2 linked regions of the Oreochromis niloticus genome follow. The protein of the gene in region 1 interacts with the protein of each later gene in a pairwise test. Links are inferred from orthologs where the notes say so. Each region holds a gene or a part of one and is shown on either strand. Other genes may lie near its edges.

Region 1 (16,209 bases):
TGAGCTCGCTTACCAAAGAGTTTAGACTTCAGTCGCATCATCATCATCATCATCATCATCATCATCATCATCATCATCATCATGGGTGTGGTTTTTAGTCTGCCGCTGAAAAAAGACCAGGATGAAGAAGATCCTCAGTTTAACTGAGGAAAAGAGCGAGAAGCAGCACATTTTTGAAGAATATTTGGACGTGATGACTCGCTGCTGTCGTGTTTGCTTTGATTTGGTTTTATTGGAGTCTTCACAAACAATCCCCTCATCTGGCCTAAGTGTGATTTTGATTGCACAGGCTCAGTTTGGCTAATTGGTGAGTTTATTTTCATTTACCAAAATGTTGAAAAGGCAAAGAAAAAGGATTTCCTCCCATTCGTGTCCCTAAGCCATGGCAGCATTTCCTTCCTCTGTGCTGAGCTGTCAAACCAGCATGAACTCCTGAACTTTAGCGCTTTGCTCCTCACGGTCTTCATTTGTTCTCTGACATACACTGGGATACTCTAAAGGATGTGTGGGTCGCCGTCTTACCGACAGTCTGGATGAGGAATATAGAGTTTAGTAGCTGACCAGTACTGTGACTCAGTAATAATCGGGGGTGGGGTTGGGGGCAGGATTATTAACATGTAAAAAATGCACAATTATTGTGGTTTAAAAAAAAAAAAAAGAAAAGATGTTTTTGTTTTGTGTGCAGCAGGGAGGGGCTTTAGTGTTTGGATGATCACGTATGCAATGTTTTGTACTGTGTAAATAATCATTTCTAAAGATGATCGTGATGAATTTTGTGGAGGGCTTGAATGATCTTGTAAATAGCTAACTTATAGCAGAGATTTCATAATATGGGCTGAGGAAATAAATGACCTGATTTTTACTACTGTAACTGTGTGACTGAAGTGGGACTACTTCATCAGACCTGTGCAATAATCTTGCCTCACAGCAACAAGGTTACTATGGATACGACCCCTCCCACAGGCCAAAGATGTGCAGGGTTATGGACGCAAGTGGTGACACAGCCTGCAGTCTAAAGCAGGTCGGGCAGGAAAGGCGAGAGGTGTCAAGACGGAGGGGTGGAGCTGCAGTTGGATGTGTCCGGTGTTGCAGGCTGTACAGTGTGCTTCACTTTTTTCTCTGCTCTTCTTTCTGTTTAAAGAATAAGAATAATTTCTTTTTGTGAAAAAAGTAAACAGAAAAAAGATTTAGAGGAAAAAAACCCCTAAATTTCCCAACAAAATACACTAACAGACAATTGTAAATGCTCCTGTGTAAGGTCATTAAGATTAAACAGTGATGATAAACTTGGCCCATTAAACAATATTAAATTGCTTGAATTACCTGCAGAGTTTGGGGATCAAAGTAAATTCTGCATCATGACAACAGGCTCAGTGGTCTCTGATCTAAAAGGTCGCCAACATTAAATCAGTTGTAGCTGACACATACACATAGAAGGGATCATCAAAATATTCAGCTGACAAAACTGTGACACAGCAGTGCCTGTACCTGCTCACACTGTGGAGGCATGTGAACTATTTCACCAAACAGGTGTTCACTGCTTGTGTCATAGTTAACCTGTTATGTAGGTCCAAACACTGTAATGGTGCGTACCACACAGAGATGAGTGCAATAACTCTGGATGTGGGGATTTCATAGATGTGCTCCAGAAATGAGAAGACAGACTGCAGTTGGGCGGGATAAACAAGGTTGCAAACCAAATACATCTTGACCAGCTTGTCCTCTGTGCTTGTCAGCCCTTCTTCTCCAAGTGGAAGACCTATGCTATCACTTCTTGTGAGGATCACATACTGTTGGGTAGATCCACTTGCAGTGTTGGGAAGGTTACTTTTAAAATGTATTCCACTACAGAATACTGAATACATGCCCCAAAATGTATTCTGTAACGTATTCCGTTACGTTACTCAATGAGAGTAACGTATTCTGAATACTTTGGATTACTTCATATATTATCGTGCTGTTTACAACTACATGAATGTCCTATTGCTGTGATTTATTACTGTTACTGAAGGTCCGCGGCTCCGAAACGTAGTAAAGGGACCTCTGGCTAATACGTCGGGTTCGTATCGGGCTGGTAGCCGAAAACTAGCTTTACTTTGTTGTCTGGGTCAACTTTGCTTGCGGGAGACAGAGAAAGGCGTTGAAAGGCTTCTCCAACGGAACTTATTTTTTCCGGAGGAAAACACGAACACAGTGTACAGTTGAGTCTTAATAGCTTACTTACAACTGGGCTCGTCAGGCACTCTTCTTGGCTGCAGTGGTTATTATTATATTTACATGCTTCCAGCTCCCGTTTTTGCTCCGTGACAGCTCGGACTTTTCCTTTCTCTCCCTCCCTCGCTCACAGACACATAACGGGTATGGCAGTCCATTCTCCCTGCAGCACGGACTACACTGCCCATGAGGCTACATGCTTTAGAGCTATGCCTGTAGCATTCTGCCTTTTAGCTTAGCACAACAACAACAACAAAAAAGCGCTCTCTCACCCAGGAAACACGCAGAGAGAGAGCGCGTCACCCTGTAACCATGGCAACCGTAACGCTGCCGCCTGGAACAACAGAACGTAGCTGTCAAACAAACCCAAACAGTCTGACCCGCGACAATATGAAACAGGAAAGTACCGCCGTGTATTCCATTTATTTCAACAAAGTAACTGTATTCTGAATACCACCTTTTTAAACGGTAACTGTAACGGAATACAGTTACTCATATTTTGTATTCTGAATACGTAACGGCGGTACATGTATTCCGTTACTCCCCAACACTGTCCACTTGGGTGTCCGAGGGAAACTGTAGCTTGGGGGCGTCTTTGATTCAGGATTTTCAATCAAAGAAGAGATGCATGTTACAGTCTGTAACACAAACACCATAATCCAAAATCAGGAAGATGAATAAAATGATGCAACAATGATGAAACAACAACAACTTACCTTCACTGGTAAGGTTTCATTTAATAGGCATCAGATGAGTTGGATATACCTCATGCTTCAGTAATCCTGTGCAACTCATTTTGCAGCTCAAATAGCATCACATGACTGAACAAAAGAGATTCAATTCAATTTTATTTATACAGTGCCAAATCACAACAACAGTCACCTCAAGGCGCTTTATATTGTAAGGTAGTCCCTACAATCATATGACCCCCTATGAGCAAGCACTTTGGCAACAGTGGGAATGAAAAACTCCGGCAGAACCAGGCTCAGGGAGGGGCGGGGCCATCTGCTGCGACCGGTTGGGACGAGAGAAGGAAGACATTAATAACAAGTGTGATTCAGTGCAGAGAGGTCTATTCTACACAGATTCTACATCCTTAAACCACACTGACCTTTTTTCACTCACTATGCGTCTATACACAACTCTGCATTTATGCATTAGTTATTAATAATCTCCTGCACTCTTCCACAGCATGTCTTTGTCCGCTTTTCCTCCAGTAACTCCCAACCAGTCGTGGCAGATGACCATCCCTCTCTGAGTCTGCTTGTGTTGAAGGTTTCTTCCTGATAAAAGGGAGTTTTTCCTTCCCATTGTCCCAAAACAGCTGCTGGGGTTTTCTCCATTTTGCCAGATTTGTCTGGTGACACCACATAGCTAAACGATCTTTATATGAAGTATTTAAAACCTTGAGAAGCACACACACCATGGTATTGTGAGTCAGTCACGGCGTGTTCTGCAGTACCCCTCCATGAACATTGTGCTGATAATATTCACTTTTACTCATAAGAATTTCTTACAGTTTGACACATATTTACATTTTCACATAACTAATTGACAAATAATCATCATAAAATCATAAAAAGGAAATCCATTATTTTTTCAGTGTAATGTAAATTCGTGGTAGGCAGTATCAGTGATGGAAATAACGGCGTTACAAATAACGGCGTTACTTTTTTCAGTAATGAGTAACCTACTATTCCTACCGTTACAACGCCGTTACCGTTACTAACAAGAAAATGCGGAGCGGTCGCGTTAGTATTTTCCAACAAACAGACGGTTGAAGCTGTGTTTAGCTTACTGCATCTTATATCAGCTGCACGGAAGTAGCTGTAAGTAATCTGGGCGCTACAGCGGACGGCAATCACTTTCTGCCTGACGATCACTTTTTGGCACAACACCTGCTGTTTGACTGAGGAAGAATAAAGTAGTCGTGGTAAGCCAATCACATGACCACTTCAAGATGACAAAGCAACAAGGTGATATATACCAGTTTTTAAATTGTGTTGATAGGCCACGTAAAACCAGAGTCATGATAAACACTATGTACGCGGCGTTTTTTCATGAATAGTTTCGTCACATTTAACGTCTAAGCACAGCGCTAGCAAGCACTCTCTGCTTATGACCAAAAAACAAGAAACAAAACAAAACAAAATCAGCCTGTTCATGTTGGCAGAAAAATGCACAATGTCGACCAATCAAAAATGATATGGCAACATGACATTTTGTTGTTTAAGAAGAGGGGGAAGTTTTAGGAGTGATGGCGAGGGAGAGAGAGAGAGCGAGTTTTGAGATGTGAGAGATTTGTGACGTTTAGCGTGTTTGGAGTGTGTAGTTAATGTGTTGTCTTGTGTAGTTAGTGTGTAGTGTTGTGGATAGTTGTGTTGTGTGTCAGAACAATGAGGCGACTGCTGTCTCCGGGTAGAAACAGGAGTGACACACCTGCTGCTGTCAGACCTGCAGGTATCAGGCTGTGATGTTCTCCTTTATAGTGGACAGAAATGATTTTTTTGGAGTGGCACAAATAATTTGTGTGGCATCTTATTGAAGAACAGCTGATTGTTCTGTAAATAGTTTGAAATTGTTATTTAAAAAGGGTAAAATGTCAATGAATCATATTTCATAACTTTAAATGCAAATATAAATTGTTGTTTGCAAAACATGTGCATATGATTTTAAAATTGACAATTTATATTTGCATTTAAAGTTATGAAATATGATTCAATAAACATGTATGTGGTTGTTACAGTAAAAATTATAACTTTTTCTACTCATTTTTTTGTCTGATTTTAGATGTCTGTGAAGGTTCTCAGTCATCCAGGTCATCGTAGTCTAAGGAGATTGGAAAGAAAAGCGTCTGGACTTCTTTGAGTTGCTTGAAGACATTGTCATCCCCTATGTAGCCGGTGTATCAGAGAAACTCAGGAGAGTTTTCTCCAAGCACGACATCCCAGTGTACTTCAGACCCAGCAACACACTCAGACAGAAACTGGTTCACCCGAAAGACAAAACTCCTAAACACAAACTTAACAATGTGGTGTATGCTGTACAGTGCAGTGAGGAATGCCCAGACCTCTACATCGGAGAGACCAAACAGCCACTTCACAAGCGCATGGCACAACATAGAAGAGCCACCTCCACAGGACAAGACTCAGCAGTTCATCTGCATCTAAAGGTCAAAGGTCACTCTTTCGAGGATGCCAATGTTCACATTTTGGACAGAGAGGACAGATGGTTTGAAAGAGGAGTGAAAGAAGCCATCTATGTCCACTGTGAGCGACCATCTTTGAACAGAGGTGGTGGTTTACGACACCAACTGTCTGCCATCTATAATCCAGTTTTGAGTTCCCTTCCCAGACGCCTTAACGCCCACTCACATCCTGGGCCATCTGACCTCAGGAAATCACATGATAGGGTGGGGCCAGGTTTCACAATGAGCTCACCCGAAACCCTGGCTGATTAGGACCCACACCCGCTTTCACACCTTGGCTCATGTGATTAGGTAGAGGATCATCAGGGGGTCCTTTGTCCCTCTTTGGGGGGGAAACTCCCACTGGGTTTAAATCTGGGACTCCCCACCAATTGACCTTAGAACTGAAGAAGCTTCTCGGATGAGAGGTGAAACGTCTTCAAGCAACTCAAAGAAGTCCAGACGCTTTTCTTTCCAAGCTCCTTAGACTCTGATTTTGGATCAATTGTGTTAATACAGTATGTCAAAACATGACTAAATTCAGACACTTGAGGTTGTGCTGAAAAGGATGATACCAAACAAGGCAAAGTAAATAGTTTTTAAAGGTGAAATGTAGACGGAAAATCAAAAGTAGTTAAAAATGGCCAATTATACCCTGGACCCCACAGGGTTAAACATTTTTTTTAAAGTAACACAATAGTTACTTTTCAAGTAATTAATTACTTTTAGAATCTTGTAACTCAGTTACTAACTCAGTTACTTTTTTGAAGAAGTAACTAGTAACTATAATTAATTACTTTTTCAAAGTAACTTGCCCAACACGGCAGTATATCGTTAGATGTAATGAAAAGAAACGAAAACCCAAGCATCGAGCTCGTCCTCAGGTTCTCTTGTAGTACCTCTACTCGTCCGCTGGGTCGCAGTAATGAGGAAGCGGCAGAGGCAACGAAGAAGATTAGTTATGGCGGTTCAGGTTGAGCTGGGTTATTTGGAGACTTTCCCGTCTCACCTCAGTCCTCTGGATGTTTTGATGTTAAAACCACACTTGGACCGTGTCTTCCTAAATGACACTGATCCGCCGACCGTCCTCTTCACGCCTGAGGGGCCTCAGGGCTCCGGCAGGACGGGCATTTTGCTGCGTGTTCACCAAACTACCGAGGAAGAGACGGCCGACGGAGTGACCTGTCCTACAGCCAACACCGAGTCAGCGCCACGGGTTCGGCTCTTTACCAGCCGGCTTTTCCTGCGGCACCACGGGCTCCAGCAGTTCAGAGGTACCGGAACCGTCCGAGCTATGGAGCCCGTCAGCCTGGACAGAGTCGTAGTTGGAGCCCGCAGCAGGCAGAGCCTCCGCCTGGCTGGATCGGAGCAGTTCAGCGACAGGTTGCTGGAACTCTGCCGCCCGGGACATTGGCTGCTGGCTCGGCAAGGAGACCCGCTGCTGCTCCCCCGACATACAATCCTGGGAGAAGACCCAGGACAGGTGATGTTCAGAGCCAGATTGTCCCCACACTGATTTAGAATCCCACTGTGAAGAAATGCTGTAAACATCGTTTCTGTTTTCAACTGATAATGTTTGTTTTAACTAGCAACAAATGTTTATGATACTTCCACAGTGCAGGTTAGCCTACGTGTTTTACTTATATTTGACTCATGTAGTGATGCTTGTTGCTTTAGATTCACACGTCATATTAGTAAGACGAGGATGGAAAAGGCCCTTTATTTACTTACACTTGTAAATGTTAGAATTATGGTGAAATCATTCTGAGGCCATCTCGCCCGCCCTTTAATATTTTAAACACAATGCTCTCATTTGGATCTTTGATAGTCTGATGTTTATGTGGCAGCTGAAGACAAAGAGCAGGACTGATTGAGTACTTAAACGCATGTTATTTGTTTTGTTCAAAGCTCTAAATTTAGCGATTCACTGATTCTAATAATCGCAGTGAATCATTTTTCACTGAGCAGCTTCTTGTTACAGCTCCAAAATAGAGATATGATAGAGAAGATGTGAGAATACAGACTGATTTGCTTCTGTTTTCTGTTCATGGTGCAGCATCAGCTGTTGGAGCTGCTGGTGCTGGAGTGCAGTCCTGTAAGACAGGGGAGGATCACAGCTGATACGTCTCTGGTTCTGACAGATTGCTGGGATTCAGTCACCCCCCCACCCTGCAGGCCGCTCAGACTCTGTGTGTCAGACTTTGCTCATTACGTTGATGGCCTTTGTGCTGGCCCATGTCTGCTTGATAACAGGAGCGTGCTGGATTCTGGGTTCCCAGGTGTCCCGTGTCCACTGCTATGCAGAGTGGAAGTTCGGGTAATGGACACCCAGCGATGGCTCGAGCTCAAAGAACAACACGGGGTAGCCGTGGATCTGGACAGTTGTGTGTTTGTGACCAAACAGCTGCTTCTCAGACTGGGGCTTTTCAACCAGGAGTGGGTAAGACTGTCGAAGCTCGGCGAATCCAGAGGACCCATAGGAGAGGGCGATGTCACGGGGGCCATCTGCAGGGAGAGGCTGGTCTCTGTGGTGGTGATGGATCTGCCACCAAGTCCAGAACTACAGAGCCATGACAACCTGGGCCTCATCTCACCTACTCTGTGGTTCAACATGACTGAAGGAGAAGTGATCCCTGTGAACAGCTTTATGCTCAGGATGAAGGTGCTTTAACACACTCTGCAAACACTTCAATAAACAAGCAACTGTAAACAGATAACAGATTAGCTAGCCATCTGCACAGTGGGTTTTTTGCATTGTGGGTGGACTGCACCTGGTGGCAGTCGTCCTTGTTCTGCTCCGTAGCCTCGATGAGCAAACCAGTTGAATGTAGAGTAGCTCACCAGCTCACAGCGAGTCTTCAGAGCAGAAGAAATGTCACCAGCTGCAGCCAAGGAGTGCATTGCTGTGAGGAGGCAGTTAAATTATGTCAGGAACCACAACACCTAACCAGTAAGCCCATCCAAGACTGAGAGAGCCAGGCTGAACTTTCAGAGTAAGTGCATGGTAACTCCCAGTCTATCAGTTTTATTCTTGGTTGCCCCGTCGTAACACGTCTGTGCCCACGGGCCCGTTGTTCTCTAGTTGGTCCGCACTTAAAAAAAAGAAGTAGGTAAGAGTATGAACCAGTCAGGGTTTGCTTGCTATCATTAACCTTTTGCTCATCCTTACCAGACATGGGCCACAAACAGTATGTTCAACTTGGAAACATGTGTTTGGAAAACTATAAGCACAGCCACCAGCTGGATCCAGCAGAGTCGGATAAATAAATTACTGCACAGCTGTGAGCAAGTCTGTTTCCTCAGATACATTCGAATATCAGGTTTTTAAATTCAAAGCACACTGCACCTCTGACAGGAGAGTTGTGTGTTTTCAGACCCAGACGTTCCAAACTAAGAAGAAACACAGCGTGTCTTTATATCTGTTTAACCAACAGCACGAATGTTTTCAGCGCTCAGCGGGCGCTCACAGAGGAATCAGCTGTCTGATAGACTGCATTAGTGCCAATGTTCACCAGTCGTCTGACCTTTGAAGGTCGCTCTTTTCGTATAGGTCTGATTGTCTGATAATCCATTAATCTGGAAGAGTTTATTATATTCCAGGATTCCAAATTCATTCAAATATAGTGTCGGTGTAATAGCTGGCACCAGCAGGCATTTTATATTTGTTGAAGACTCATTTTTAATCAGTTGAACTGTTTTGATCCTTCCTTCTTCTTAAAGTTATTCAGGGTTGTACACTTCACACCATAAATATCCTGAATTTGAACCCAGGACCTTCTTGCTGTGAAGCCAAAAAAAAAAAGTTTCATCCCATCAGCAAATCGTCAGTGTTTGGTTTTTTATTTTTGTTTCTGTCTCTCGTCTGGTCTCAGAGATGGGACCCCCCTCCTCCACAGCCCGGTGGTTGCCGCTCTGACACGTTCTGCCGCTTGGCTTCTCCACCGTATGCCAGCGAGCTCCACATCCAGCCGGTCACCTCTCCACTCTACAACAACCTGGGCTGCTATGACAACCTGCTGGCTCAACATTTCTGCACTCCCAGGTTGACTGATGCATCCAAACAGTGTCCTTAACATGTAGAAAGAAAGCAGCACTGTTTTACTCCAGCAGTTTGTCCGGGCTCGTTTCAGGCTGGTGTCACCAGGAGACGTTCTGACTGTTCCAGCTGGAAACCATCCAGACCTGCTCGAGACCCACTCTGAGGGGATCCACAGGTGCCGCTTACTACTGGTTAATAACACAAGTCTTTATGCTCATTACCTAAATCAGATCAGTGTTTCTTAGGAGCACCTTTTTTTGTTAAAGATCAAAGCTTTTGAAAAAATAATTCAAACATTTTAATAAATAAAATGATCAGACGAGGTTTCTCCGAGAATACTGTTAAATGTCAGAACAACATTGGTGGGTGGGTTCATTTACATTTGGAGAGAAGCAAATTGAGTCTAATAGATCAAAAACCACTTTGAGGCTTTAAGTTTCTAAATTAATGTTAAAATCATCCACAATAACCATTTTGTCTGAGCTGAGCTCTAAACAATAGGCAGAAAAATCCTGAGAAATCAGATGAATTCAAATGAATTCTGAATTCTCGTCGAAACAGGCTGAGGAGGAGGAGTGGCTGCAATCTCCCACTACAGCTTATTAAGCAACCAAAGACCCAGACAGTTAATGTGACTCCATGGTGTGGATTCATTTAGGCCATCATAATCATCAGATTTCTGTAAGAGTAAATCAACAAAGCTCAGACGAGAGAAAACTAATGTTTAACTGTTTTATTCTTTGGTGCAGTGGAGGATGCTGTGTGTTATTTGGAGGGCACCAGAGACGGCTGCAGTTAGAAACTGTTTACTGACCTCAGACTGACGTAGCTAATGCACTGCATCACTCTGTCTGTGACTGTTCAGTGAAAAGTGTGTTTCCTCTGAACGTCTTCAGGTGTCCGGTGCTGTTCTTCAGGGTGCAGAAGGTGTGCTCATCTGCAGGAAGAGAAGAAGGAGGAGGAGCTTACTTGGCCAGCAGACAGCACACCTCGCTCTATTTGGTGAACAGTGACAGCTAACCTCAGTCATTCTTCTTTATTTCATTTCCTCTGTGTGCTCCAAACATGCGGTGTGTTATTGGATCCAGAGACTTTGATTTTGGTCTCATCTGACCAGACCAGTGTTTCACAGGCTTGTCTAAATGTTCTTCAGCTAACTTTAAACACTCTTCAACACGCTTTTTCCTTCAGCTATGTGTGATGAACGTGCATACAAGTCATGGTTGAGTGGATTACTTGTGTTTTCTTTGAAACTATTGCACCTGCAGGTCCTTAGTCTTTCTGTGGCTCTCCACATGTCAGCCCCTCGGCCCCTTGGACAACTCTCAGTAATTCTTTTCACTCTGTCTGAAATCCCGAGGGCAGCAGCTGGCCATGGCCAGTTTATGGGGAGCTGATCAGGGGCGGATCTAGAAGGGTGGCATGGGGTGGCAAGTGCATACAAACAGTGAATATAAATGCTAAAACTGAATATATTGCATAGTGTCCCCCCCCCTCCACCATTAACAAATGGTTCAGCCCATAGCAGGACCGGCTTTTTTCTTGTTTTCAGTAGCAAGCGATGCTTATGATTGTGCCAGAGCACATTTTGAACAACACCATGGGAATTTCTGATTTTACACAGGTGGTTGGATGTTACACTCTGGAAATGGAAGGAAGGTGAGTGTTATTAACCCTCTGTGGTCCACGGACACGCTGCACCTCCAAATCACATGACTGATGTAAGCTGACACAGCAACAAGCTGCAGCCACGCTGAGTCTCTATTTCAGCCCACACTGAAAGTTCGGACTTCAAAGTTTTTACATTTTAATTACAGGCCAGTAAATCCAGAGTTATGATAATATATATAAGCCACGCTTTTTTCTAAATACTGTCGTCACGTTTTTGTGTGTGTGTGTTTTAAGTGTTTTCTAAGGACAGCGCGAAAACAGTAAAGAAAGAAAAAAAGCCACCTCTTTGCTATCGGTGGAAAAATGCACCATGTCGACCAATTAAAAAAAAAAAAGTCAACACGTGAGATTTGGTTGTTTAGGAAGAGGGGAGAGTTTTGGGAGTGACGGTAACGGCAGCGAGACAGAGCGAGTGAGAGAGTTTTTAGATGTTCTGGTCTCCAGCAGTGCTCACTTCAGAAATTCTTCTGTAAGCGATGCCATCAGTATGTTTGCAACAAAAAGGCTGTGAAGGTCTTGAGAGAGCTCAGTGGTCTGACCATCATTTCTTGTGTGACGCCTTTTTATAGGCCATCAGTTGGGACTGAACCAGCTGATATCTGCACTGAGTGTTGCTTTCTGATTACTGATCGGGTTCAGCTGGTGCCTGTTTGCAGCTCCCTTTCTTCATGTGTTCAGTACTGTCTCCCCGTGCCATTTCATCATTTATGGACATTTGTATGGACATTTATGGACAGCAGCACTTTTACACATCCGTTTAGTTGGTAATGTGTTCAATACTTATTTTGGATATGGCTGCCAGTGAAACTGGGTTACTGATGTTCATGAATGATTGTGGGATTACTGGTCCAAGTAGCATTTATGGGTGGCTGTAGCTCAGGAGGTAGAACAGGTTGCCTACTAATCGGAAAGTTGGTGGTTCAGTCCCTGGCAAGAACCCCAAGTTGCTCTCCGATGCATCCATTGGAGTGTGAATGTAGTTAGAAAGCACTCAGTTTAGAGACAGTGCTTGTGTGAATGGCTGTGATTGGGTGAATGTGGCGTGTTGTATAGAGCGCTTTGAGTACTCCGGGAGAGTAGAAAAGCACTATATAAGAATCAGTCTGTTTACCATTCATTTTGAAGTGTACAGGGTTGGACTGTCTGCTCAGATGCAGCTGAATGCTGTGAAACTGATTGGTGAATACTTCAGTGTAACACATCCTGTAAAAGCTACTAGAGTTTTTCCAGATATGGTTTAGTGGCCATGTCAGCCAACTGATCTCAATGCTTTAGTTAAACCGTTGAATAAACCCATTTTTAGAGTCAGTGGGTTCGAGTCCGACCCGCTTCCCTCTCTGTGTCCCTGCCTTCATGTCTGTCTTCACTCTATCTGTCCAATAAAGGCTCTTTTCCCAAAGTGTCAGACAGCAGCTTAGCTGTGTCTGAGGATGCTAGCTCAGGGGAGCCCTGACTCACAATAGATGCACTGATGAAACGTGAGTTGTGTGTATTTTGTTATAAAATGTGCCGAAAGTCTTTTTTCTTTTTTCGCTTGATAATTTTTCTACATCTTTGTGTTTTTTCTTTATTTGATCTCCATTTCCATCTTCAGTGTTTTGTTGTCATGTTTCCTGTCTTTGTAGTTTTTCTTTCCTTCTCAGTTTTATTATTATTTTTGTCCCTCGTTCATGTGTGTGTGTCTTTCATGTCCTCTGTGCCTGCACTTCTTATATTCTGCCTTATTTGCCTTAGCTCGGGGATAACAGGGTTGCAGGCACTGTTGATTTATCACAGCAAGTAAATGAGACTGTTTGTTTGCAGGGATCTTACTCACGGTGCAGTCTTTTCTAAATCTAAGCTGTTGTTAGTCAGCGTTGTTGCTCTGACAGCTTCCCCCCATCTCCTCAGGGAACATCTATAAACAGCCCCGTCCCATGTTCTCTCCTGGAGGGAGCAGCTCTGTCTCCTCCAGGCCTTAACAAGACTGTGGAGCTCCTCATCGACACCATCCTGCCTCACCTGCAGCACAGGTAACCGACCTGTCTGCTCAGATTTACAACAGCAGGCAGTGAAAAATACAACTCAATAGGACCTGAGCTTGAAGTTCACATAAACAAACCTAGTTCAGTAACAGAGGGATGCATGATGGCACACTGCTGATGTTGGCTGCATGTCTGCTCTCAGCAGCTCTCTGTCTGGTTGCACTGTCCTCCTTCACGGTGCTGCAGGAAGTGGAAAGATGGCAGCAGTGAGGGCAGCAAGTGGCAGACTAAACCTCCACCTGCTGAAGGTACAACAGCCGTGCTCAAGTTTTAGAATCATAAGATAATTAGACATCAGCACATTCTTCTTAATTCCTCTCTGCAGGAGAATATTTTGTCTTTAAATAAAAGGCAGCGTATTGTTTGGCTGCTGTTGTATCTCGTTTGCAGGTAGACTGTGTGAGCCTGTGCGCTGACAGTCCTGCAGCCTCTGAGGTAAAGCTGGCGTCAGTGTTTCAGAGGGCCGAGGCCCTGCAGCCCTGCGTTCTGCTACTCAGGAACCTGCAGCTCGTCCTCAGATCACGAGGGGCTGCCGAGAGCGATTGCAGGGTCCAGGCAAAGCTCTGCCAGCTGCTCAGCTGTGCCCCCACCAGGTCAGTGACTGCCTCTAACCCTCATTCAAATACACTGGTCCAGCTTATCAAGTAGGTGATCATGTTGATGAAATGAGCTTTCCTTTTATTACATCCCCTACCTGTAAACCATGCACCACTACAGGAGCGCAGAGTTTGACTAGGTGCCACACCAACAGCTGCACTTTCACTCGGCTCTACTTCAGAGCATGCAGCAGAGACGTGCACAAGTGTTTTTAGTCAAACCGGAAGTCTCCTGTGTGAGCCATGGCTCAGAATATAATGAAATGTATCTGTGGTTATCTTTCAGTGTGGTGATGGTGGCAACTGTCTGCAAACTTCGAGATTTGCCTGCAGGCATCATGGCAGCGTTTGTCCATCAGGTAGCAATAGAGAGTCCAACTGAAGAGCAGCGGCGTGCCATGCTTTCCAGCCTGAGCAGAGACCTGCACTTAGGGAAGGATGTCAACTTGGAGAACCTCTCCAGACTCACCACAGTGCGTAATGACATCGACTCTACTTCACACCACCACTGGGGCAGAATGATTATCGTTAAAGCTCAGCCGTTCAGGTGAAAACATGTTAGGCAGCTGTGTTGGTCCAAATTAGAGACCTTTGTAAAGCTACTCTGGGGAAGGTTTCAGGTTGTTTCTAACCATGAAAGCCTAAAAGCTTCTTCTAGCTGCTCCTGTGTTCAGGAGTTGCCACAGCTGGTTGGATCCACATGTTGGATTTGGATTTCGATGCTGGTTGCCCTTCCTGAGTGTGGTTCCTGTTTCAGTCCACATGTTCTTCCTCTGCTCCACAGGGTTTTGTGTTGGGGGATCTCAGTGCTTTGCTGGTTGAGGCTGGTAGAGCTGCCTACAGGAGGCTGATCCACAGCTGGTGAGAATAACTACATCTTACAGGACAAGATTACCTTCTAGTCCAGATCAAATGTGTCATACTTCATCACCTGTAGTTTATAACCCAGTCTCTGAAACATGTTGGTTTTGATGGTTGTGGTCCTGGAAACAGCGAGGCGGCGGCGTATTTAAACGCTGTGGCTCGGTGCTCTCAGCTTCTTGGGTTTTGTGTCTGAAGCTCTAATTCAGTATGGAAGGGTTGAATGCTCCCCTCTCATCTCTCGACTGAACGTCCTTCTGCCTCCTGGAAAAAGGTGTAGACCGGGGTGGGGGACTCCAGGCCTCGAGGGCCGCAGGTTTTAGATCTCACCCTGGGTCAACACACCTGAATCAGATGATTAGTTCATTGCCAGGCCTCTGGAGAACTTCAAGACATGCTGAGGACACCGGCTCTTGAGGCCTGGAGTTCCCCACCCCTGGTGTAGAACCCTCAGATGGAGAGACAGCTTCTTCTCCACAGCACCATGTCTACCTCACCCCTGCATACCTCATGCTTAAAGAACTGAGGACACTTGACAACAGTTAGTACAGTGCTACTTTGTAAATTGTTTGCCTCTTACGTATCCTGTTGTCTGTGTCTTAAATACTGCTGTTCTACTCTGAGAGTTACCGCCCAATGAATAATGAATACTTAATCGTGACAGAATGAAGAATGGTGTCTCGCTGAACAGCCTGTAGTTCAGTCTTTATTGTTGTTTGTGCAGTGGTGCTCAGCAGCAGGAGGATCTGTGCTCTAGCGGAGTGACCATCCTGAACCAGGACTTCACCTCTGCTCTGGAGATCCTGCAGGACACCCTGTCCAAGGCCATCGGGGCCCCGAAGGTGACCAAAGACTAAAAGAACGTTATATTTCCATTTTTTATTGTTTTTGCTAGCGCCCCTAATAAGGCCACACACACAAATTTGTTGTGCATGACTGGTTGTCTGTGGCAGACTGTGGTGGAGTCGACTAAAGCAGAAGAATAACCTTTACTCAGTTTTTAGAAATTCAAATCCATGTTTGGAAAAATGAACTGACACAACAGGCAGTGATCTTTGTTTGTGTAAACATAATATTCTTTATTTACAAAAAAAAGTGAATATAACAGTAAAGACTTCTGTGTGTCATCAGGTTGTCTGTTTACAGTGAGAATAGAGAGTTGTGTTTAAGTCATTCCTGTTGTATAGATACACTGAGGAGGTGTGTGTGTGTCACACAGGTGCAGCTTAATAAATTGGAAAGAAGCTGCTGTTTCTTGTTTCATCACGTTGTTGTCCTTTGTGTCCCGTGTTGTGAGTAGATACCTAATGTGCACTGGGAGGATGTCGGCGGTCTCCAGCATGTGAAGAAGGAGATCCTAGACACGGTTCAGCTTCCTTTGCAGTGTCCTGAGCTCTTGTCTCTGGACCTGAACCGGACTGGAATCCTGCTGTGTGGACCACCAGGGACAGGAAAGACTCTGCTGGCCAAAGCTGTGGCTACTGAGTGCTCCATGACTTTCCTCAGGTAGATTTAGTTCCACTTCATAAGAACGAAACAGGAAGAAAGGTGTCACGCTGAAAAGAATCAGCATTTGTTTGCTGAGATTTGCTGCTAATGGCCAAGTGTTCACTGACA
Region 2 (16,209 bases), on another chromosome or scaffold:
AATATCCTTGGACTATATCAGTAATTTATATTTGCCAAAAAGCGGAAGACTTAAAACTAAAAGTTTTTGTTTTTTTTGTATAATGTTAATTCTGCGGCACACACTGTCTGGTTAGCACTGTCACCTCACAGGAAACAGGTCTTGGTTTGAATCTACCAGCTGAAGAATTAAACCCTTCTGTGTGGACACTGCATGTGCAGAGAGGAGGAGGCTTCAGAAGATTATTAACACCGTTCGGGAGATCGTTGGATACTCTCTGCCCTCGACTCTGAAACAACTGCCACCTTGTCTTCCACTCCTGCAATAATTTCCCTGCTGTGTAATATCACAGCCAACTCAGTGAGCAATGTCTTACATTTTTGGAATACTCTACTCATATTGGTGAAGTCACTGTGAACTCGTTCCTTCTTTTTATATTTACTGTGCAAATGACTCTGTTTGTTTTTTGTTTTTTTTCTCTTTGCATCTGTAGGTGCAGCCATGCTGCAATTTATTTACACACAAAAACATACGACAAAAGACTTCTAATTCTAAAACTAGACATCACGTCCGATCCACACCTCAGTGACGCCTTTTTTCCAAAAACTAAGACCACAACCAGCGAAATGCTGAAAATGATGCTCTGAAATGCCTGACCTCATCGTGGCTACATCCTTCAGCCTGTGGTCTCTCCACACCTTCCTCTTTAAGAACAACACACTGACATTTTGACACAGTCATGAGGTAGATGAGACTTTTGATATCACTCTCACGTCTGTGCCGTATATACAAAGTTGAAAGAAGCTACTGGGATGTTTGTTCAGCAGTCGCCATCGTCATCTTGGCATTTCGAGGGTGGATCTGACTGAGAAACTGAGGGAAACCACACAGTCATATGGCAACAGCCTGTTAAAATAAAGCAGGCCTTCACTGTGACCATAACTTAAAAACCAACAGTCTGTTTTATTCAGTAAAGTAGAAAGTAGCACTAATGTCTCCAGGAAAGCGTTTCTAAAGTCTTTTTGCAACCAGGAGAGTCAAAATAGAGCAGATTTAAGGCACTTCAGTGCCCATCATTTATGTACAGTCTATTATTTATGTACTAAGTAGCTGGGAACAGTATGACACAAAAATCTAATGTTTTCAAAGTGTTACTACCTCCTTGCTCCAGATATTCAAACCAGAATCAGACTAACTGACTAGGTTAAAATGTATCCTCATTAAGCTTTGATGAGCCATTTCCAGCTGCCGTAGACAGCTTCAAGTTCATGAGTGTAAAACGTCTGAGAGGACTTCATGACCCCCTGTACAATCAGAAACTGGGCATTTTACCTCTGTCTTCCTCCATATGTTCTCTGCACTTCTTCCCAGGTAGTCTGTGGATTTGAATAAGAATCAGACAGAAGATTCATCAGAAATTTGCAATTCAAGAAGAAGCACAGAGGGAAAAAGTTACATCCCTCTCTCCCTTTGATATCTGCAGATACTTTCACATCTAACTGTATACTGTGATTATTTGTAATTATTTTTTAGATCTGATGTACCTGCTGTACGTGGCTATCATCTGCATAGTACCAGCACTTGTTCTCCCTGTGGCGGACGTAAGCAGTATAGTGCCCAAACATTGCATAACCACAGTGCACGACCACTGCGTACAAGGTGTACCTGCACTCATTCTGGAAGAAAAACAAATAAATAATCAGAGTATTCACAAGTAAAAGATGCAATATTCACGTAAAAAAGAATTCGGACGAACCTGTGCAAAGTTTCCGGAGAACACATGTTGGAGACTCTGGGAGAAATCAAAGGTTTCTGGGAAAGAAACCCTGCAGTCAAGTTTGCGGGTGGAACCGCGGCTGTTCCGAAATCGCTTCAGGTTCATGCACAAGATACGAGGCAGTGAGAGGAGTTTGACACCCTGAACAAAACAAATGAGTGAATTTGAGTTCATGTTCATGCTGGCAAATACGTTTCACCCACCCACTCTCATCCACTCAGCCCTTTAAATATGTTTTTTTTCCTCAAAGATATTTTTATGAGATTGAAGCAATGAAGAAAAACAGATACACACAGATTTGTTATACAACAAGCAAGTAGATTTCACAATGATTGTTTGAGCTGACATAATAGAATACAGATTAATGACGCATTCACACATCTTGTAATTGATTTCATCAGAGCCTTTTCAATGTGTTTGAGGAGGGTTTAAACCTGAGTCTCACCTGTCTGGATGGGTTCTTAGTTCCACAGTGTGCACAGAAGCAGGAGTTTATGCCCCTGAGCTCCTGATGCTCGAAGAAGGAGTTCATGCAGCCTTCCTGAAAATATGACAAATGTAACAAAATAAATAGTGACTAAAATAAACAGTGACAATGCAATACAGCTAAGGTTTGTAACCTAACAAGTCATATGTCATTCATTTGATCTTTTATGAGTGGTTCTGCTGGACTATTTGCTGGTGACTCTGATTTTTGTAATCCTAATAAACTTGTGCGTTTTCTCCCTTTTTACACTTGTGTTTTGTGTATTTATAACCCCCCCCATGTACTCCCCAGTTGGAAGTATTACATATTAAAATGCTGTATTTTACTACACCCATATGATTGGATCAGGATTGGCTAAAATCTTTGGCTTCAATAAGCTGTAAAAACTCGGGATTTTAAGATACGGCCTCCAATAAAAGGGAAAAAAATAGCAAACAGAGATAGTGTGTTTCCCAACAGTTTTAGTATTCTTAAACAAAAGAAGAAGAAGACCCACCAGAGAGTTGTCATCCTCCTTTACATAAAGCGGCAGGCTGAGCATGTAGCTGGTTTCGGTTTGGATGGAGTTGCACTTTAAACACTGCAGGTTCGTCTCCACTGAAATCTTGTACAGATCCTGAATTTCCCCAGCCTTTCAGAGAGGGCAAATGCAAACAAACACTGTTGTAGATAACACGTGCAGAAATGAATAATATTAGAGTAGTTTGATCGCAGTCCAACCAGAACTTTGTTGTCCATCTGCTGGTGAATGAAGTTGAGAATCGAGAGGAACACCTCATCTGCGTCATGCTGCACATTAACTGTAAAGCATCATTAGAAGGTATAAAATAAGACACATCGACAGGAGATATTTTCTCTGCAAAAGCGTGGCTCTTACGTCGAAAGTTGTTTTGGTCCAGACAGTGGAGGAAGTCACGATGTGGAGCGGGCTGAGGAAGGTCACCCCGCATGGCCTCAAGAACTCTCTTTAGATGCAGCGCGACATTATGAGCATCTCCTTTCGCACCAGCTACATCCCACCTTTTAAAATTCATAAAAGCTTGTTAATATTGTAAACAGCCTTAGGATTTCCACAATAAGTGGCGCTACAACATCACTGAGTCAAGATGAAAGCGGCTGTAGTAATTCATGTGATTACCTTTCTAGCAGTTCTGCTATTTCCCAGGTAACAGAGAAAGTCTGCAGCAAGCTGTTCACACAGCATGATAGACAATAATTGGAGAGGCCTCTCATCCCTGTAAGAGTAACAGGGGTTAAATAACAGCCTGTGACACCGTGAATCAACCCACCAGAGCACCAGCGGGTGTGTGCATGTGTAAAAATAAATAAAAATGGAAAAGCACAGTCAGCTGTGGAGAACCCCACATTTTTGATATATATTCTATTAAAATAGCAAATCATGGTTTTAAAGATCACTGAGCGTGAGGCTTGTTCGGTTTATTCGTTTTAGGCCCCGTGTTGAGCAGATGTATAGCAAGTTGACTTCATTTCACACAGACTCACGGTCAGTATTTTGGTTTCTGTGTCACTGAAATTTATGAGGTTTAAAGAGTTCCTTTGAGGTGCAGAGATCCTTTAAAGGTTTGTTAAACAACATTACCACCTCTTTAACAACCCAGTATGATAAATATGAGTAAATATGAACATGAATATGATCAGATAGCTGTCTGATCATATTCATAATCACACAATAAAGATCTTTTGTGAATGTTTTTGAATTTCTAGTCCTTTAATCTCGTGTTATTGGAGCAACATGTAATAAAAACATTGATTACGGTTTTTAGTCCAAAAACTAGTTTTAAAGTCATATTTCACAGTTAATGATTATTAGCATACTTTAAACAGATCAGCCAGTAAATAATTAGATTATACAGTCACCAGACACTTTATTAGGTACACCTTTTCAACTGCATGTTAACTCATATATCTGATCAGCCAATCACATGTTGGCAGCTCAGAGCATTTAGACATGTAGACGTGGTCGAGTCGACCTGCTGAAGTTGAAACGGAGTTACAGAGTGGGAAACAAAGGTGATTTTAGTGACTTTTAACATGGCATGGTTGTTAGTGTGTTTCAGAAACTGCTGATATACTGGGATTTTCCCACGCGGCCATCCCTAGAGTTTACAGAGAATGGTCTGTAAAGTTTGATGTCAGAGGTCATAAGAGAATGACCAGACTGCTTCAAGCTGATTAGAAGAGTAGAAACAGCAACTCAAATATTGACTAAAATTAGGTAACCAACATGAAACTGAGGCTATACTTCACACGCTTCACCAACATTGGACAATACATAACTGGAAAAACGTTTTCTAGTCAGATGAATCTTGATTTCTGCTGCATGAAAGCATGGCTTTATCCTGCCTGCCTTGTATCAACAGTTAAGGCTGCTGGTGGAGAGGGAGTGATATGGGGGGTATTGTCTTGGGCCTTTTTGGCCCTAAACACCACAGCCTACCTGAGTGTTGTTGCTGACCATGTCCATTTCTTAATGACAACAGTGTACCCATCTTCTGATACCTGCCTCCAGCAGGTTAACGCACCATGTCGCAAAGCTCAAATCATCTCAAACTGGTTTCTTGAACGTGACGATGAGTTCACTGTACTCAAATGGCCTCCACGGTCACCAGATCTCAATCCAGTAGAGCACCTTTGGGATGTGGTGGAACAGAGATTCCCATCATGGATGCAAAGCCAACAGATTTGGAGCAAATGTGCGATGCTGTCACGTGAGGAGTTTCCAGCGCCACCAAGGTGTACCTAATAAAGTGGCTGTGAGAGCATTTTTAGCACACTGTGCACTACATTGTTCATGACTGTTCATGACCGAGAAAGCACTACAGCTTTAGAAAGTTAACTGACTAAAAGAATTTCTCCTATCTGTGAATAAAACTTGACTTCAAAATTGTTCCGTTTTTATTTACTGTGACATTAATAACGAGTGCATCTACGACTCGTTGAGGAGCTTTAATCTTATTTAACAAGCATCTCGTGCATTTCGCTGAAGTAGGACCTTTAAACTAGTATTTATAGTTCTCAAGTAAACAGGAAATAATATAAAAGCATCACCATCGGGTTGAGAATGTTCCGCTTACCAAATAAGTGATTCACCAGAGTAAGTCTAGAAAAGCAATAGCAGATCCCAGCAGACATCAGTGCAGCCTTCTGCTCTTCTTCAGGCTCTCAGGACGGTCACTAAACCAACAGAGGGTCGAGCGTTTGTTGTACTTCACCCCACTGTAAACATCAGCGCCACAGAAACAGTTCCCAGCAACAGTTTCATTTTACAGCTTTCTCTTCGCTTTGCTGGAAACGAAACTCACAAACTGTCATGCGCAAACCGGCTGGAACTATGACGCCGGCGATCACGTCGGCGCTTATTAGCTACACAGCATTGGTGACACATGGGTCCAGATCATCTCCACAGTCACAGGCAGTACTCTGTACTCGAATACTCAAGTATTTCCACTGTGTGCAACTTAATAATAATACTTCTCACCTGTACCCAGGGGCGTGTCCAAAGAGGGGGGCAATGAGTGACCCCAGCCCCACTTTAAAAATGCGATTAAACTAATGTGACTTTCACTTAAAAAAAAAAAGACCCCTAATTTTTTTTTACATGCATGCAGAACTTTATGAATTACAGATAATATATTCTGATTTACTGCAGCACCACCTTTTCTAAACTTGAGGGACATGTACGTTTACCTGCACACTTTTATTCTACTTTTTTCGCTACTTGTAAGCTTTCAGAAAACAATTTAAACATTTAAATTTAAAACTGCTTAACAGTGCTGCATAAGATTAAATTTAATAGATCTTCACATAAATTAATTTCAAATTTCCACAACAGGAATATAAGATTATAAAAAAGTTTGTTTTTCCCTCTTTAAATTTTTACTGATGATACTTTTGGAAAGGCCTGACAGCATGTTAGGTAACCAGTTACTTAACTACCCATCCATCCATTTTAAAAAAAAAAAATAAGGTGACTGGATTCTGTCCTATCAAACACACGGTCACATCCACACATAGAATTCAAAATTATAATTCCAAATTGATTACCCTTTAAAAATTTAAGGTTCATTTATGAGAATTATCAATAAAATAATACATAAGAACAGTCACAGGGACACTTAAATGCAGAACAAATATCTTCACTTTTACATTGTAAGTGCATTTTCTTAAGATCCAATCCTGTGAAAAACTAAGTACAATCTGACAGCTTCCATTTGAATTAAGAGGGTAACATGTTGAAAATCAAATGCACTTGATTAATTGATCATGACCACTTCTATAAAAGCTGAGGTTTCGGCAGTTTGCTGGACTGGAGCATTCCGATGTGTTAACACAGCGCCAAGGAGGAAAAACTTCATCTCTGTCCATCTTTCACACCTATTAACGTTGTTGTCAAATGTCGTAATTGTGGAGGAAAGAGTTAAAAAAGTAACTGCGGCTTCCCATCGATCTGGAAAAGGTTATAGGGTCATTTCCAAACAATCTGAAGTCCATCATTTTGCAGTGAGAACAATTATTCACAACTGGAAAACATTCAAAGCAGTCGCCAATCTTCTCAGGAGTAAACGTCCCAGCAAATTCCAGACCCAGTGCTTGATCTTGGACGTGCAAACAAATACATCCAAGACTCTACCGGCCTCAGTTAGCATGTCAAGTGCAACACTTCTAAAAATGTCCTTTGGAGAGACGAGACCAAAGTGGCAATGTTTGGCTGTAATGCAGAGCACCATGTTTGTTGACAACCAGACACAGCATATCAGGACAAACACCTCATGTCATGCACAGTGGCAGAGGGGTCATGGTTTAGGCTTGTTTTGCAGCCACAGGACCTCAGCACATTGCAGTACACAAAACTTAAACTGACTATTATAACTATTGTTATAATCATTTAACAAATTTCAGATTCCTACAGTGATACACTGATTGCAACTGTTTTCTTACCCCTACTCATCATTCTAGGTACTCTGAACCAGAACAGTGAGTCACTTCCCAGACTTAAAAAAGGAAAAGAAAAAAAAAAAAAACACACATCAGACTCTTGATGATTCATGTGTTGCTTTGAGATGGACAAACAAAGGATGTATTAGTGAGGAGCTGGGGAGAATTTATGGGAAGCTGTGTCATGTGAGCTGAAGAGTCTGCAGCTTAAAAAAAAAGAAGCTATTTTCCTGGAATGAGGACGCTTTAAATGTTTTATAGATCTGACGTGAATATCATCCATGTTGTCTTACAAACAGTCCTTAGAGAATTCATTTAAAATGATAGACCTAGCATATTCAGTCCTCTACAGTCCTTTGCTCTGAGTGACTGCCTGATAATAGGGTGCAAACATGGCGTTCCACATCTGTTTGAGCAGCTGCAGAAGTTTCGAAATCCACATGAACGCAGACGGGAGAGCTGCAGGTAAAAAAAGCACAACAGAAACGCATTTACAGTCACTTTTATTTTAACTTCTAAAAGATGATGATGTACCAGTAGAACTAAGGAACATTTCACCCAACCTGGATCCATCCGAAAAAAGAGCATGTAGAGGAGGATGGCAGTCAGAAAGATTCTCCGGAAAGGGAATGAGCCAGAACCAATCATCAGGAGTTTTCGGTATAAAAACCTGATCACAGCCTCAAGTTTATGGACTAAAGTACCTGCAGAACAAAAGCAAAATCACAAACAGTTAACAGTTTCAGTCTTTTTTAGGCCGCTTGGCGTAATGCATCTCATAAGGGTTTAGGCTGAAGTGTCAGACCTTGGGATGAGACAGGATGTTCAGTGACGTCAGAGCTTCCACTCATCCTGGGATTTAGAGGAGGGTCTTGATTTTGTCGCTCTTTTTCTTCTATGATATCCAGCGCTGTCTGTCTGTGTTCTTCTGTGAAGGCGCTGCTAAAAACCTCGCCTCTGATCAGCTCCCGAGCCTCGTCTGCCTCTCTCAGCGGCACAAGGACATGCAGCAGGTACAGCTCTGCGACGGTCCTGAAGCTAGTCGCCCTGCTGTTGGACGGGTAGTGTAACCAGGCTCTGGTCACCTCCTGCATTACAGCAGGCTCACCCACCTTGGAGTAAAGAAGTATACTGCCAAAATGAGACACAAAATCACATTAGTAAGAATTTTATTGAATTTTTTAAAGAAAAAAAAATCCTAAATAGTTAATGCAATACTTTTCTTAACCCCTTATGTTAAAGCTTAAAGTCTACATGTGAGTCATATCTTGATCGTCTGACTTAAAATCCACTGTGTGATCATGTATATCTCTCAATTCTTTGTAAAACACAAACAAACACATCACCCCCTTTAGCAGAAATAAATTATTTTGGCTGTCCTGCACTCTTGTCCTTCAGTCTTTAATTCTGAAGGCACCACACATGTCATCATCAGTCCCAGAAGTCAGAGGTTAAAATAGGAAAGAGTTTCTAAGTATTGGCACAGTATCTGGGAACCTTGGCTCCAAATTTATGGATATCAGGGTGTGATAAATGTCTGTTTCGTTACTAGAAAAGGTCACTTTTATGTAGGATTTTTTTTGAGTTTATCACCCATTTCCAGTCGTTGTCCAAATATTTAAAAAAGCCAACCATTTTTCACTGGACCTACCCACTGACATAGTAGATTTGGGATTACAGTCTCCAATTTTGCCTGCTGCAGAGCTTTGGAGGGTATACATTTTGGACTTCACAGTTTTTCCTACAGATAAAGACCTCTTCCATAGCCATTCAGACCTCATCAAAGCAATTGAGTAATAAATAAAAGTTCACTTTTTCTTACACTTTGTACAACAGTGTGGGCTTTCACAAATGTGACCTCACTAGGTAAAAAAAATAATTAAAAAAAAATATGGCTCATCAAGTCAAAACTTCTAGTTTTATATTTATGGGACAGTCTGGGCAATGAGCTAGTGGAACTTGCTCTGTCATTTTACACATTTATTAATTTAAGCCTAAATAATTGTGATAACAGATGTCTTTTATTTACTACAAAAACATTTCTTTATCAAAAAAGGCTGAAGTCATTAATATAAGGTTTGATTATAACAGCACTCATAACAAATAATTAAATTTTATTTTCATTTTTAATTCATGATTAAGTTAATGGCGGATTAAATGTGCTGATTGAAAAAACATGTCTTGGAGAATTTGCATATTTGAACCCTAATACGATTTGTATTTTATACTTTATTTCATATTGTGTCCACCTGCCCAAAGGCTGGGGATCAATAGATCAGTGTCTAATAACAATAACAACAACAATAATAATAATAATAATGATAATGATAATGAAACTCTTTCCTCACCACATCTGCATGATCTTCGCTGGTATTTTCTCCTGCTCATACTGTTGCAGGACCCAGCAGAGGACATCACGCCACTGATTGAGCTCAGCCAGAGCCTGAATCCCTAAGATGCAGAAACCAGCCTTGAGCTCTGCACATCTGCAGGAACATTAAAGACGTTTGTGTTATAACACAAACATCCAAGCTTCCAGTTACACATGTGCGTGAAGCTTCAGGACCCTCACCTGCTGTCCTCGGGCTCCAGGCCATCGAGACTCTCCAGACCTCTGAGACATGTGTCAAAAGCCGCTTGGAAGTCTCTGTGCACCATCATTTGTTCTGCAGCCGACTCCAGCGTGTTGAACATCTGGGTCACAGCAGCAGAGAGCGGAGGGCTGGCGGCCTGGAAGCTGTTCATGACTCCCGGATGAACTTAAAACAAACCCAACAAACACTCAAAGGGTTTAAAGCACTTTAGCTTGCAGCTAAGCACGAAATTTTCCACAACGGTTTGTTTACCTTCCGTTTAGCTTCCTGGTATTAGTCCACTGTCCAATCAGAAGCCACAGTCTTCAGAATGTCCGAGGCAGCCAATCATATTGCAGCTCTTTCCAAAGCACGTGATTCATTTTTTCCCCAAGCTTCTAAACACGTGTGCGGAGTAGAAGAGTGTGTTGTTCACACAGTTTAAGCGTCAAGAAGCTCATCTGCTGCTTCTGTGGGAAGTAAGTCAGACTTGTATGTCATATAGTGGATTAATGATTACACCTGTATGAGTTTAATGAGGGAACGAGGCTATTTTTATGTGTTTTTAAGACTGGTGCCTCATTAGGAGTTGGGTAGCTAACTTGCTAGGCTTATTGTGACGGCCAGTATCGTGTAACTAAACGGAATTAACAGCATTTTACCATTTCTTTTTGGAGGGGGGTGGATGATGATGATGATGATGATGTTGATGATGTTAGTGCTGTAAATGTTCAACAGACCAAACGTTAAAGTTTATTACCGAAGCTGCTCATTCCCGTTTTGTTGAGGTTTAACAGCTCAGTGGATTCGCTAATCCTAACTTGCCTATAAAGTCCTTAGGTTTACGTTATTAATCATGGAAGGGAAATTGTAGTACTGCACGCGTCGGCCACTTTGTAAGGTACATCTGTTTACGATTCAGCCAGTCACGCGGCAGCAACTCGGTGGATTTAGTGAAATGTGAAAGAAAGGTGATGTAGGTGAGTTTGAATGCGGCATAGTTGTTGGTCTGAGTGTTTAAGAAGATGCTGATCTGCTGGGATTTTTTTAATATTTTTAATATCAGTGTTGGGTACTAGAGACCAGCTCAATGTTTATAGAGGTGTAGAAGAAGACAGTCTGAATGCGTGATCAGTTTTATTTAGACTTCTCTCCCAGGTTTATTTAACTTTATTAGTTAGTTTGTAAAGATGTTGCACAGTTTATTTTCATTGTTTTTTTGTTTTGTTAGTAGTATTACTAAAAAAACGTTATAAATGGATTTTTTTCATTCTACCTACACAAATAGGTGTCATATTTAAATGATATACATCGTCTTGACGTTCCTGAAAGTAAATCATAGATTAATTAAAATCCAAACATCCTCCTGAATCCTGGGCTTCAGCTCAGGTAGTGTGGAAGAAATCGGCAGTCATTGGCGAGACATGTCGCCTCAGACCATCCATTTGTCTTCACCGCTTGTTTTTACTGTTGCGTGGTGTATGGATACATGTGAAAGTCCTAAAAATTCGTGAACCCAAGTTTGCTTGACTGGTGATTTGTTAATGTGTTCGCAGCATCTTTAAAATGGCAAAAAGCCTTCGGAGTAAATGGAAGCGAAAGATGCGGGCAGAGAAGAGGAAGAAGAACGCTCCAAAGGAGCTGAATCGTCTGAAACAAGCTCTGACCCTTGATAAGAAAGGAGAAGTCGTCATGACTGACATGCAGGAGATCGCCACAGTGGTGCCAGCTGAGAAGATAAAGAAGCAGGCCGACGTTAACATGGAGGAGGCAGAACCTGATGGTAAGACAGTGAGCACCACAGTCAGCAGCCTTAATAGTTGTTGTTTTGATTTTTTGGGGGGGTTTTTTGTTTTTTTAAATTTCGAGGTGATGTCACACATTTTTCTGTGCCACATGTATCGTTTGCAAACATGAGGAAACCGCTTGTGAGCATGTTGAAGCCGTCCTCACTGCTGTGTGTCTGTGTTTCAGATGGGAAGATGGACATGGACAGCAAGCGCAACAAGAAAACTCTTCTGGATGAACATGGACAGTATCCGGCGTGGATGAGCCAGCGGCAGGCCAAGAAAATGAGGGGCAAACGATTGGGAAAGAAAGGTGGCAAGGGCAAGAAGAAGAAGAATGTTGCCTGGTAAACCACCAAACGGGAAGACCGTCATTTTAGCTATAAGACTCTGGAAGCTGAAACACAGCATCCTTTTGTGATAAGTGTTGTGTTTCTTAATTAAATTTCATTGTGTCTGGTGGATTTGAAGATTCCCGGGCTTTGCCACAGAGCCTGAGATCGTACAAAAGTTCACTGCAGAAACTGGTTTGTTCTCATGGAACAGCAAAACCCTCTCTGACTTGAGATCAGCGCACGGAAAACGTGTGTGTAGTGCGTCTGACTGCAGAAATGTGAGTGGTGCACGTGTATTCTCTGCCGCAAGTTAAGTCTCTAAACTCCCATAAAAAAATCTGTCCTATGATTTGTTCTGTTCATTTTCTTGACATCATGCAACTCCTGGAGGTGTGTCAAAAAAACAGAATTATTAGTATTTTAATATGATTTATAATTTCAATTGTTGTTTGTCATAACTTTAATTCATTATGCACATTCTTTACAATTACAGAACAGTGCAAAAGTGCATGGTGGATGCAGATGTGATGGTGCCGCTTTTATCGTGTACTTGTCCGGTTTCCTCTTTTTATGGACACACTGCATGCACAACATGCCAAGATATGCCGACAATCACCTCGTTGGTGCAAAACTCCTATTTCAAGCCCCTCACACTGTGTTATCTTTGGTGTTTTTCATACATTCAACTAAAGAAATGACAATAAATGATGTTTTTGGTGACAGACTAGTAAACACAACTTAAAATTAGTTCATTGCTAAGTTGTCTGTTATGTGTATACACATATCTTGAGTTAGGTGGGGGGGGGTTTTACGCTTGAATGATTCATAGGTCAGTGTTAAGCGTTTCAACAATCAAACAAATATTCCTCTGAAATGGTCGGGTACAATGACTGGGCTGAAAATGAGTTTAAAAAAAAGCAGCCGAAGTCAAGCACTTTTAAAAAAATTACAAGAAGGTCCGGCTCGTACAATATATTGAAAAGGAAAACGTTAACATTTCTTAAAATGTGCATCATAGGCTATGTCTATCATCTGGTGATTTATTTTTGCTATATCTGTGCAGCAGTGGCTGCTATGGAGGTATATCATAAAAGGCCAGACCTGTGTCTCCCCAGTTATAGCTCTGTTTCACCTGTCAGGTAACTGCCTAAACCGCTGCACAATAAAGTAACCTGTTTAATGCCGGTGCTTGGCCATAGTTAACGTGATACTGGCCTAATCTTTTTGCGAGGGTTTTCTACTTTTACTGTTTAGGGTTAGACAAAATGTTTTATTATCAATGTTGGCTTCTTATAATTTAATTTTGTAAACATGGGTAGAATAATGAAACGCATGTTCTCCAGCCATTATGGTTTGTGGCTGTGCATAGAGAAGATGACTTGGCCTGCATAGCTTTGAAGCTACTGTTTCACAGTAGAATACATATTAAGGATTTTCCTTCCCACACTTCATAATGCCTCCCTTTTTTTGTAATACTAACATAAACATGGTGTTATACTGATGAACATGCAACGTTTAAGTGCGCAAGAAATCATGCATAGCCCGCTGCAGAGTCGTTACATGTTTAAGGATTAATTATCACCTCACTTATCACTGTGTCCAAACACCAAGATGGCGATGGCTAAAATGATCAGCTGGTGCTCCACAAAACAGTGTTTTTAGGTCAGTGTAACCGCATCAGAGGAAAGACAAAACACAGGTTGCCAGGAGGATTTTATTAGAATAGCAGAGCCATTTCAGGTCATGACTGTGATTACATTGGTAAATAAAAATCCAGTGAAAGAAATGAAGAATAAGGTCATATACCCTCAGTTCCTTGCAGAGGTGTACATGTTTGCTTCTGATCAGGATTGGCCTGATGCTTTTCCAGTCGGCACATTCAAAGCGAAATATTACACAAATCAACTGATTTAAAAAATTTGCTCTGATTTGATTGTTAAATACAAATTCCTCCCTCTGTTCAACAATATTGAAGTTTGTTTAAGTGAAGCTTGTGCAAAAATAGACTTTGGGAGCGTGTTGCTCACTCGATCAGCTGAACGTAAGCAGCCGGGAACAGACCGGTACGTCCGTGACACTGTCCCTTCCACCAGCCCTCATCAATCATCTCTATGTTGTGGATTATGTCGTCTGGATTGAAGGAGATCTCGTCATCGGCCTCTGTGTGAAAAAAGAAAAGCAAAGGATTTATCCTCACATTTAAGCACTTGTGTCACCGCGTCAAAGGCCAAAGGAACACCTGTGCTCACGATCCCCTTTCAGTGTGTAAACAAGGCAAACCAAAGTAGCCCAGATCAGCTATTCCACAATGAGTACTGAATGTGTAGGTGTGACATTTATATGTGCACAAGGTCACATTTATCATGAAACATAGAAAATGGAGAGTCTTACCTCCCTGATAGTCATAAATTGCAATTGCCTTCTGGCCACATGTCAGGTCTTCATAGTCGTTATCGTCAGCTGGGAGATAAAATATGCGAGATTAATGATCAGTAGCCACGAAAGGGGTCCTGATTAACTCACGGCTTTGCTTAGAGGCACACCTTTACGCTGAGGAGGAGGAGGAGGGGGATGACCGATGTCTTCATACTCTCCACCATCATCATCCACTTCTATTGACCTTTCAGGCAGAGGAGGGGCGCCCGGTTCCTCAAAATCGTCCGATCGTGGTGGCAAGGCCGGGGGCTCCTCGTATTCTGGTTCCTCCTGAAAACAGCAATGCTCAAAGTCACCGATTTCAAATCCTGGAGGTGAGCTGAGATGAGTCCCAGTAGCATGCCAGTATTATATTTAGAGCTAAACATCTGAATTTTGAGATGGACAAAGGGATAATTTGGGAAAAATATGCTGTAATCTTAAATTTACTTCTGGAACCAACTCTTTCTGTTCATCACCCATCTTTAAATGTCTCCAGGTGCTGATTTAGGCTGTTATTTTATTTATTCCTTTATATTTTAATTTGGGCTCCTTTAAAAAGCCATGTCTTTGTTCCATAATGTCCGGCATCTGTATAAAATCTAACATAAGGCCAACTTACTTATCTTAGCTTCTTAAAAAGGGATGAAAAACAACATTTAATGGGCTTCAATGACAATTTCCATCCTGCGGGTGCAAATGTCTGCATGTCGCTGTCTTTTAGACATTCATGTCCTCGGTGAGAAGCACTGGGACTGTGTGCAACAGGCAAAGGAGTGAAGTCACAAAGTACTGAGAGACGTTGAGTACTCAAAGGTAAATAAGTAGCACTTGTTTAAAATTTCAGGAGCAGGTTATCAAACGTGCTAACTTTTCAGTGTTGTGGCCTTCATCGTGGTGTGATGATGCTCTTCTGCTACCTTTGACTCATAAGTGGAGTTAGATAATTTGTAGTTAAGCGTCACAGGTGAGGATAATCAGAAAGGAACCCTTTCCAGAGACTGAATTAGGTTAGTTGCTGAGTTTTGGAGATATCAGCTGTGAAGATGTCTCTCTTTTTACAGCATTTTGCACCACATGGTATTTGCCTTTTTTGTTAAAAAAAAAAAACTAATAGCCTCAAAGTCTGCTGTAAACATTTTCACATAGGACCTATTTTCTTTCTGCTTTTCCACATCCACAAACCCAAAAAATTCTGCAGAATTATGTTACTACTGACCTGTGAATTGTCCAAGGATAAAAAAGGCACCTAACTCACCAATTAGGTGTCTACACGTAAAAGACAACTTGGTAAAGAACCAGTTTTAAATTGTGACTTTGCCTAAAAACACATTTGTCACAAAAACACATAATTTGTCTCCATTTCTTTAATGAATTTATGAAAAATTTCAAAGATAAGACAGTCTGACAGACTTGAATAGTATCTTTGTACCAAAAAGGTGATTCCCAAAGAGCTGTTAGCTAAAAACACAGAATATCTTGATAGTATGGTATGCAGCGTGTCCTTAAAAAATTTGAGGAAACTGGAAAAGTGGAGGGCAAAAGAAAAGAAGTGGCAGATCTAAACAACTATCTACAGCAGATGAACAGTATCTGAAATACCAGGATACCTGGATAAATCACAATGCACACAACCAAACACTATCAGTCATGGATTGGCATACATGCCAACCCCCCCCACCCCCACCCCCAATTTTTTCAGGAGAATCCCGAATTTCAGTGCCCCTCCCGAAAATCTCCCGGAGCCACCATTCTCCCGAATTTCTCCCGATTTTCCACCCGGAAACAAAATTGAAAAACCATATCCCAGCATGGCCCAGCCAATTCCAGTTTCCAACAATGGCTACTACTACTGCAGCTACTTAGTTTTAATATTACTCTTATTACTCTTTCTGGGTCA

The links.
Region 2: the proteins of pex6 (region 1) and pex26 come close enough for resonance energy transfer, tested with the Homo sapiens proteins (2 studies listed by BioGRID). The link is inferred for Oreochromis niloticus from reciprocal best matches to the Homo sapiens genes PEX6 and PEX26.

What each region holds. Positions count from the first base shown.
Region 1 is NC_031971.2:3,733,215-3,749,423, reverse strand, and holds the start of pex6 (peroxisome assembly factor 2), read left to right. Parts: upstream 1-6,326; coding exon 6,327-6,884; intron 6,885-7,457; coding exon 7,458-8,063; intron 8,064-9,273; coding exon 9,274-9,443; intron 9,444-9,531; coding exon 9,532-9,615; intron 9,616-10,336; coding exon 10,337-10,442; intron 10,443-13,001; coding exon 13,002-13,123; intron 13,124-13,277; coding exon 13,278-13,383; intron 13,384-13,525; coding exon 13,526-13,728; intron 13,729-14,017; coding exon 14,018-14,204; intron 14,205-14,515; coding exon 14,516-14,592; intron 14,593-15,316; coding exon 15,317-15,434; intron 15,435-15,892; coding exon 15,893-16,098; intron 16,099-16,209. UniProt on the Homo sapiens protein: Component of the PEX1-PEX6 AAA ATPase complex, a protein dislocase complex that mediates the ATP-dependent extraction of the PEX5 receptor from peroxisomal membranes, an essential step for PEX5 recycling.
Region 2 is NC_031981.2:14,333,037-14,349,245, forward strand, and holds pex26 (peroxisome assembly protein 26), read right to left. Parts: upstream 10,113-16,209; 5' UTR 10,046-10,112; exon of another isoform or gene 9,959-10,045; 5' UTR 9,945-9,958; coding exon 9,772-9,944; intron 9,686-9,771; coding exon 9,548-9,685; intron 8,331-9,547; coding exon 8,005-8,330; intron 7,904-8,004; coding exon 7,763-7,903; intron 7,659-7,762; coding exon 7,546-7,658; 3' UTR 6,314-7,545; downstream 1-6,313. Other genes in the region: usp18 (ubl carboxyl-terminal hydrolase 18), read right to left, coding at 1,312-1,355, 1,524-1,655, 1,736-1,897, 2,202-2,297, 2,740-2,874, 2,964-3,043, 3,121-3,263, 3,382-3,478 and 1 more; llph (protein LLP homolog), read left to right, coding at 11,339-11,555, 11,747-11,910; hcls1 (src substrate protein p85-like), read right to left, coding at 13,918-14,054, 14,286-14,354, 14,438-14,600. UniProt on the Homo sapiens protein: Peroxisomal docking factor that anchors PEX1 and PEX6 to peroxisome membranes. PEX26 is therefore required for the formation of the PEX1-PEX6 AAA ATPase complex, a complex that mediates the extraction of the PEX5 receptor from peroxisomal membrane.